Oryzias latipes: one gene and its partner. The protein of the gene in region 2 interacts with the protein of the main gene of each other region in a pairwise test. Links are inferred from orthologs where the notes say so. Each region holds a gene or a part of one and is shown on either strand. Other genes may lie near its edges.

What was found. The genes of interacting proteins can lie anywhere in the genome.
Region 1: the proteins of prmt3 (region 2) and rps2 interact in binary tests that used the Homo sapiens proteins (3 or more experiments, as listed by UniProt). The link is inferred for Oryzias latipes from reciprocal best matches to the Homo sapiens genes PRMT3 and RPS2.

What each region holds. Positions count from the first base shown.
Region 1 is NC_019866.2:12,348,185-12,352,093, reverse strand, and holds rps2 (40S ribosomal protein S2), read left to right. Parts: upstream 1-1,503; 5' UTR 1,504-1,524; intron 1,525-1,800; 5' UTR 1,801-1,803; coding exon 1,804-1,938; intron 1,939-2,026; coding exon 2,027-2,116; intron 2,117-2,329; coding exon 2,330-2,437; intron 2,438-2,511; coding exon 2,512-2,845; intron 2,846-3,093; coding exon 3,094-3,185; intron 3,186-3,269; coding exon 3,270-3,350; 3' UTR 3,351-3,394; downstream 3,395-3,909. Other genes in the region: rnf151 (RING finger protein 151), read left to right, coding at 49-145, 722-1,189; ndufb10 (NADH dehydrogenase [ubiquinone] 1 beta subcomplex subunit 10), read right to left, coding at 3,803-3,891.
Region 2 is NC_019861.2:6,533,529-6,537,180, reverse strand, and holds part of prmt3 (protein arginine N-methyltransferase 3), read right to left. Parts: intron 2,835-3,652; coding exon 2,647-2,834; intron 1-2,646. UniProt on the Homo sapiens protein: Protein-arginine N-methyltransferase that catalyzes both the monomethylation and asymmetric dimethylation of the guanidino nitrogens of arginine residues in target proteins, and therefore falls into the group of type I methyltransferases.

The DNA.
Region 1 (3,909 bases), on a different chromosome or scaffold from region 2:
GTGCTCACTTGTATAAAGAAATTGACTGTTTCGTCCTGTTTCATCCAGACAGCAGACCTGCCCCTGCTGCAGAAATCCGGTCAATCCGAGTTTGATCTTTGTCATGTTCAAGCTGAGCAAATCCATTGGTCGCATGAAGATCAAGGTAGGACGTGAAAGAAAACTGAAGAGCGGCGCTGGGTATCACTGCCTAAGTGCTTAATCTATTCTATTTCAATCTACATGTTCACCATTCAGTTTTTTAAAACAAATATATGATTGTGTGTATGTTCATATGTATTGGTGCATATATTATTTTAAAACTTTAAGTCAGAGTTTACGTAGTGATAAAAATGGTTTAAACTAATGGTTTAAACTAATCCAGCATGAAAATTTTACTAGTAATTTTATGAATTGTTATTTTAGAAATGCAAAAAAAGCTTTTTCTGCCTTAAAAACGGCCTAAAATTGCTTTAAAGGAACTTTTATTAATTGATTTTAGAAATTGATAAACTATAAATCACATACATCTGATATGAGGATTGCGATTTGAACCTAGTTTACCCCCCAAATCCATCACTCAATCAGTTGAAATAAAAAAATAAAATAACAATTTGACAAATAATGTAAATTTTAGCGAAAATAGGATGCCTCATTCACCGTGATTAAGACTCCCTTACTGTGCTTGATGTGTTTTATATCTCTCTTTTCATATTTCTTTTATATTTTTATGTTATTGCAGTGCACAAATGAGATTCGGGGCTGTGCAGAGACTTTCTCCCTCTCAGAACAATACTGCCACAGCTTGAGTTGCCTGTATGAGCTCATCCCCTGCCCATACCAGGGATGCAGGGCACAGCTTCTCCGCAGAGACCTGGAGACTCATGCACGCCACTGCGAGCACTGGAGTCAGCCCTGCAACATGGGCTGTGGTGCAATACTCTCCCACCGCACCCAATCTCAGCACAACTGTTATAAGCAGCTGAGACAAGAGTACGAAGTCAAGCAGAGGAACCACAGGGCAATCGCTGCAGCACTACAGAGGAAGATGAAGAGGATGCAAAGCACAATGGCCCACATGAAAAGACAGCTGGGGCTCATCTGTGAGAGCCTGGAGGGGATGGATGATCTGTATGAGGTGGAGGAGGATGAACAAGGTGAGAGCAGTGGCAGTTCTAATGGGACCCCAAGTGGCAACAGGAATTACTGAGGGTGTCAGCCTGTTATTGCTTTTCTCCATCAATCTCTAAGTGTGATTTAATTTAAAAAAAAGGTGATTGCGTTAAAATGAGTGAATTTACTGATATATATCTAATATTTTAGTTTATTTTTATTATGTAAATAAAGTTTTCAAAATCACAACTTTCCTTTCCTTGTCTTATTCCAGTCTTATTCATAACGTAAGGTGCAGATCATGTTCTTGCAAAGCCGACCAAAAGGTGGCAGTAAAGAGCAACTTTTGCATTAACGCAAATATCGCGAGAACGTCGTTTGACAAAACCCGGCTGAGCCTTGAACAGGCCTTCTTCCTGTCCAAATCATCACGTAAGTCAATCGTGCTTCCATTGATGCTGGCTAGAAATCCACGTTTATCAAACGCATCTTTGTCTTACGGATATTTATTTTTCACACAGAGTAATATTTACATATTATACTCTTGAAATGTCTGCATATTTAACGTTAGATGTTCGTAGAATCACTAATATCGGACATATATGATGTACACAATGAACATGGCGGTAGTCGTGGCTAGTGAAACGTTTAGTAAAACTCTTTAAGTTAGCAACAAAATTGTTTATTATAAATGTTGTCTGTGACTAGCAAATGGCGGACGACGCCGGTGGTAGAGGAGGTTTTCGCGGAGGTTTCGGCGCTGGCGGCCGTGGTCGGGGCCGCGGACGCGGCAGAGGCCGTGGCAGGGGCCGCGGTGCTCGGGGTGGCAAATCCGAGGACAAGGAGGTCGGTATTTTCCCGTTTTGTGTAACCAGTTGGTTAAGCGTAACATTTTCTGTCACTGAGGCTTTCAACGCGTTCTGTGCTCCGGCAGTGGGTGCCAGTCACGAAGCTGGGTCGCCTGGTTAAGGACATGAAGATCAAATCCCTGGAGGAAATCTATCTGTACTCTCTGCCCATCAAGGTAAGGGTTATTTCTGCATTCATGGTAGTCTTGCATGTATTTTGCAAGTTTCCTCTGCTTAAATATTACTGTGTACACAGTTGTCAGATTGCATCCTTTGTGTCATTGAAATATTAAACCAGGGAAAGATAACAAAAGTTGCAGTTTTGGGCTGCAGGACTGCAATTTTGTTCTGAATTTTTATTGGATGTGACTTTTTTTTTCCCTCTGCAGGAGTCTGAGATCATTGACTTCTTCCTGGGTTCTGGTTTGAAGGATGAGGTGTTGAAAATTATGCCTGTCCAGAAGCAGACCAGGGCTGGTCAGCGCACAAGGTTCAAGGTGTGTGTCGGTTAAACAGGTTTTGTTATGTTCACGTTTGATGTCTAAACCTACCTGCCCCCCCTGAACTACAGGCCTTTGTTGCCATTGGCGACTACAACGGTCATGTGGGTCTTGGGGTGAAATGCTCCAAAGAGGTTGCCACAGCCATCCGTGGAGCCATCATCCTGGCCAAGCTGTCAATCGTCCCCGTCAGGAGAGGTTATTGGGGTAACAAAATCGGCAAGCCCCACACCGTGCCCTGCAAGGTCACCGGTCGCTGCGGATCTGTTTTGGTGCGTCTCATCCCGGCTCCCCGTGGTACTGGCATCGTGTCCGCCCCTGTGCCCAAAAAGCTGCTCATGATGGCTGGTATTGATGACTGCTACACCTCGGCCAGGGGCTGCACTGCTACACTTGGAAACTTTGGTAAGCATCTTCTGGATTCTTGGAAAATGTGAACGTTTGATTTCTGGTGTTCTCCTCGCTCTGCTCAGCTTCACCTCTGAAGTGGTGGAGTTGTCGTTATCAGGAGACAAAGAAATGAGTTCTTGCACGACAGAAAGATGCTTTGCTGGTCTTCTCTGTTCCCCTTTTTTGCACTCAACAGTTTTTCCAAAAAAGATATTTGAATCTTTGCAATAGATTAAGTCTCTAATCACGGTTTTCCTCTTCAGCTAAGGCCACCTTCGATGCAATCTCCAAGACTTACAGCTATCTAACCCCTGATCTCTGGAAGGAGACTGTGTTCACAAAGTCTCCGTACCAGGTTGGTACACAACTACAATATCTTATCAATGCTTCACAGAAAGTAAAGTAGTGACTAACATTTCTTGTTTTTTCCTTTTTATAGGAGTTTACTGACCATCTGGCCAAGACTCACACCAGGGTGTCTGTGCAGAGAGGCCAGCCAGTGCAAGCCGCCACCTCCTGAACATTTTCTACAGAGAACAGTTGAATAAACGTTCGGAAAAATGATTGTTTTGTTGTCTTTTATTTGGAGATCATAAGTAAATAGCTGTGGTGATTGTCTTTTTAAATCAAAGTTTGTCAGCCACTTTAACTGAGTGGCTGTTGTATACTAGCATATGGAGGAACCTGCTGGTATTGTATGACCATTACCCTTCAGGTTAAAAGCCTGAATTTCCAAACTGAACAACTTTGACAGCTGAAGATGACTAGTTCAGGCTTTTTTCTGTATTTTAACTTCCAAAAGAATTACTTTGCACCTGTTGTGATAGGTTCATTTACCATTTCCCTCATTGGTAAATCTTTTGAACCTGAGAAATATTAGTAAAACATTTGCATCCAAATTCACATTAAAGTGCACAACTCAGATTATTCACAAACTTTATTTTACAGTTATTACATTTGACATCAGAACTGTTAAGCACTTTGAGCCTGAGCTGCCATCATTCGTTCTTTTTGCTTCATTAAGCATTTCCTCCCACTGGCGTATGCGCCCAGGTCTCCATCTGAGAAAAGGCCATAAA
Region 2 (3,652 bases):
GGTGGAGAATGAATTTCAGTTTTTGTTTTATTGTCCTTTGTATGAAAAACACTGACTTTGTTTGTATGAGGTAATAGAAAAGAAATGTTTTTCTGCATTTTTTCTGTATTTTGTCTTCTAGTGTCATATAAGCCCATGCGGGCTGGGCACATTAGTGTATGACACATAAATAAAATCAAACTCAATCAAACTCAAACTCCAAAAGACTCATTATCTCTGCCAGTTTTCTGTGGGGCTACAAGCACACTATATTACCAAAAGTATTGGCTCACCCCTTCAAAAAATCAGAATCAGGTGTCCTAATCACTTGGTCTGGCCACAGGTGTATAAAATCAAGCCCTTAGGCATGCAGACCGTTTCCTGGCTCCTAAATATTCCATAGTCAACTGTCCGCTCAATCACAACAAAATGGAAGAGTTTGGGAACAACAACATCTCAGCCACCAAGTGTTAGACCACTTTAACTGAAGGAGAGGGGTCAGCAGATGCTGAAGCGCATAGTGCAAAGAGGTCACTGACTTTCTGCACAGTCAATTCCTACAGAACCCCAAACTTCATGTGACCTTCAGATTAGCACAAGCACAGCACGCAGAGAGCTTTGTGGAATGGGTTTCCAGCTGCATGCAAGACACACATCACCAAGTGCAATGCAAAGCGTGGGACACAGTGGTGTAAAGCACTGGACTCTGGAGCAGTGGAGACGCCTTCTCTGGAGTAATGAATCCCGCTTTTCCATCTGGCAACCCGATGAACAAGTCCGCATTTGAAGCTTGCCAGGAAAACGGTAGATTGAGCATTGAGCCGAGTGTGACATTTGGTGGTGGAGGAATTATGGTGTGGGGTTGTTTTCAGGACTCGAGCTTGGCCCCTTAGTTCCAGTGAAAGGAACTCTGAATGCTTCAGGATACCAAAACATTTTGGACAATTCCAAGCTCCCAATCTTCTTGGAACAGTTGAGAGTGGGCCCCTTCCTCTTCCAATAGAACTGTGCACCAGTGACCAAAGCAAGGTCCATAAAGACATGGATGACAGAGTCTGGAGTGGATGAACATGACAGGCCTGCACAGAGTCCTGACCTGAACCTGATAGAACAACTTTAGGATGAATTAGAGCGCAGACAGAGAGCCAGCCCTTCTCCACCAACATCAGTGTGTGTGTGTGTGTGTGTGTGTGTGTGTGTGTGTGAGACCTCACCAATGTGCTTTTGGAAGAATCTTCAAAAATTCCTATAAACACACTCCTCAACCTTGTGGACAGCTTTCCTAGAATATTTGAAGCTGTAATAGATGCAAAAAGTGGACCAATATCAAACTGAGCTCTATGGGTTAGGAATGAAATGGCCCTTCAGTTCATATGTGAGTCAAGGCAGGTGAGCCAATACTTTTGGTAATGTAGTGTATTCTGTAGTGACAGATTCTGAGAATTATCTGCAGTTATCTGTACCAATTTTCTGCACTACAGGGCAGTTGCCAACAGTAGAAAATACAGTATATTACAAAGGGTGAAGTTTTGTTATTGACAAAATACTTCTTTTCAGCACCATTATGCAAATAAATTCTAAAAAGAAGACAAAATAAATCCTACAGTGTGATTTCCTGTTTTTTTTTTTTTTTTTACAGTCTGTCTGTCAAAGTTGAAATGCACCCATGATGAACATTATAGGGACAACTTCCAGAATCAGTGATTGAAAAACACTTTTTTGCCTTACTATATATCCAGTAACCCTTGTGCTATCCTAGGCACTTTAACATTGGGAGTTGGGTTATCTAGACCCGCGGCTAGACAGTGCTCTGGACCATTTTTCTTCAATGATTTGTGATCTTCACTGGTGTCCATGGATTACATGAAATCTTTCCACCTTTATCCACCTTTGTCATTGTAGGGAGAACACGTCAATGTAAGGGTGGGGTCATCTAAGATAGCACAAGGATTAAAGGAATGTAACGTAAATGATTATATTCCTGCAAATTGCACAAAAAGGATAATTATTTAAACCAAATAATTACGTATTTATTTAACACTTGCAATCTTAACATCCTTAATAACCTCTTTTTGAAATGTAGTTATAACTTTCACAAAAAACAGAAAAATAAAAGAAGGTCCTCTTTTATTTGGCTTTAATCCCTGCTTTATTAATTAAACAGGTTAATTTCTGTTAAAATCTCAATTTTCCAGAACTACAGCCAGCCTTACTGGAATGTTATTGGATCGTATCAATGGGAGGCAATAGACGAGAATCCTTGTAATTCAGGCAGAGTTGTCCTATTTGTCTCTGAAGGAAAGAAACTATTGATTAGAGGATTCAAATCCCATTAAATCAAGTTCCACCCTCATTCATCACATACTCAGACATGTGGAGGGCATACTACTTAACAAAGAGGTTAACTGAAACAATCAAACGTGTACGAACTTTCTGCGAAATCCAAGTTTGTGAGGAACATGAAGAAAAAAACGTTTCTCTGTAAACCATTCTACCTGCAGACAGTTAAAATAAGAGTTTCCTTCAAATAACCGTACATGTTACACACATCACCCAGCATGTCTTCCCTAACAACCTCTGAGCCTCTTTCCAAGTGTAAAAAGGCTTAATATCCTGCCCCCAGGTGATTTGATGCATCGTTTTTAGCATTTCCGAGTAAAGCTTCACCTGTATGACTGTTGGCTCAGAGATGACAGTGTCCATCTTCACCACTTCCACCAAAGCCTCTGGTAATGCTGCCTTCTTCATGCACGACATGTTGAAGCCGTAGACGTCATCCCAGAATGCAACACGGTCGTGGTGTTTGTGTTTGTCTCCCACTGCAGCCAGGCTGATGTTACAAAGGTCTGGATAGACTGTGTAGAGAGAAACATAAACAGGAGATTTCTGGGTGCTTTTTTGGTTTATCTGACGTGTTTTGTTTCCATTTTATTACAAATATAATGAATAACAACAGTGATATAAAACAGCAAGTCTGTGTGAACACAGGATTGTCACGCAGATAGAGGAGTTACAAAATAAAATCGACACTTTTGGGAACAATTTTCTTTTCTTGTACTTAAAAAAAAAAAAAAGAATTTCATGACCATCACTCATTTGAGTAATGCATGTGAGAGCGGACTGTTTTAATCCCCCCTTAATTTAAAATAACAGAAACTTTTCCACTGCAAACACTTTTTCACTAATATTCCATTGAAAAATAAACAACTGCCAATCATTTAAACCTGAGCTGAAGGCCATGTCACACAGCTACTATGAACATTTTGCACATTGTTCATGTATGAAACTTTGCTCTTTTGTGAAACATGATATAAGTTATTCATAAGTGTTTCTTGCGTTCGGCATTCGTCGATGTGCGCAGATGTCCATCGAAGGGGCTCAGCCGATGGGTCTGTGCGTGAATTTGGTTATGAGCTGTTCAAATCTTTTGGTCCGCTGAGAATTACACAGTTTATACGTATTTTATGTATATTATTATTGTCAATCTTACGCAACTGTGAGATGCGTACGTAAATTTGTGGCTTTCCCAGACCTTTCCACGTATGTCTAATGGACTTTTACTACAGATGTGTGACTTTTATATTGTGTATACTGCCGCATATGTCGTTCAAACAATGTATTTGACACAGGAATCACTGACAAATTGCATATGAACAACGCAACAATTGCACAC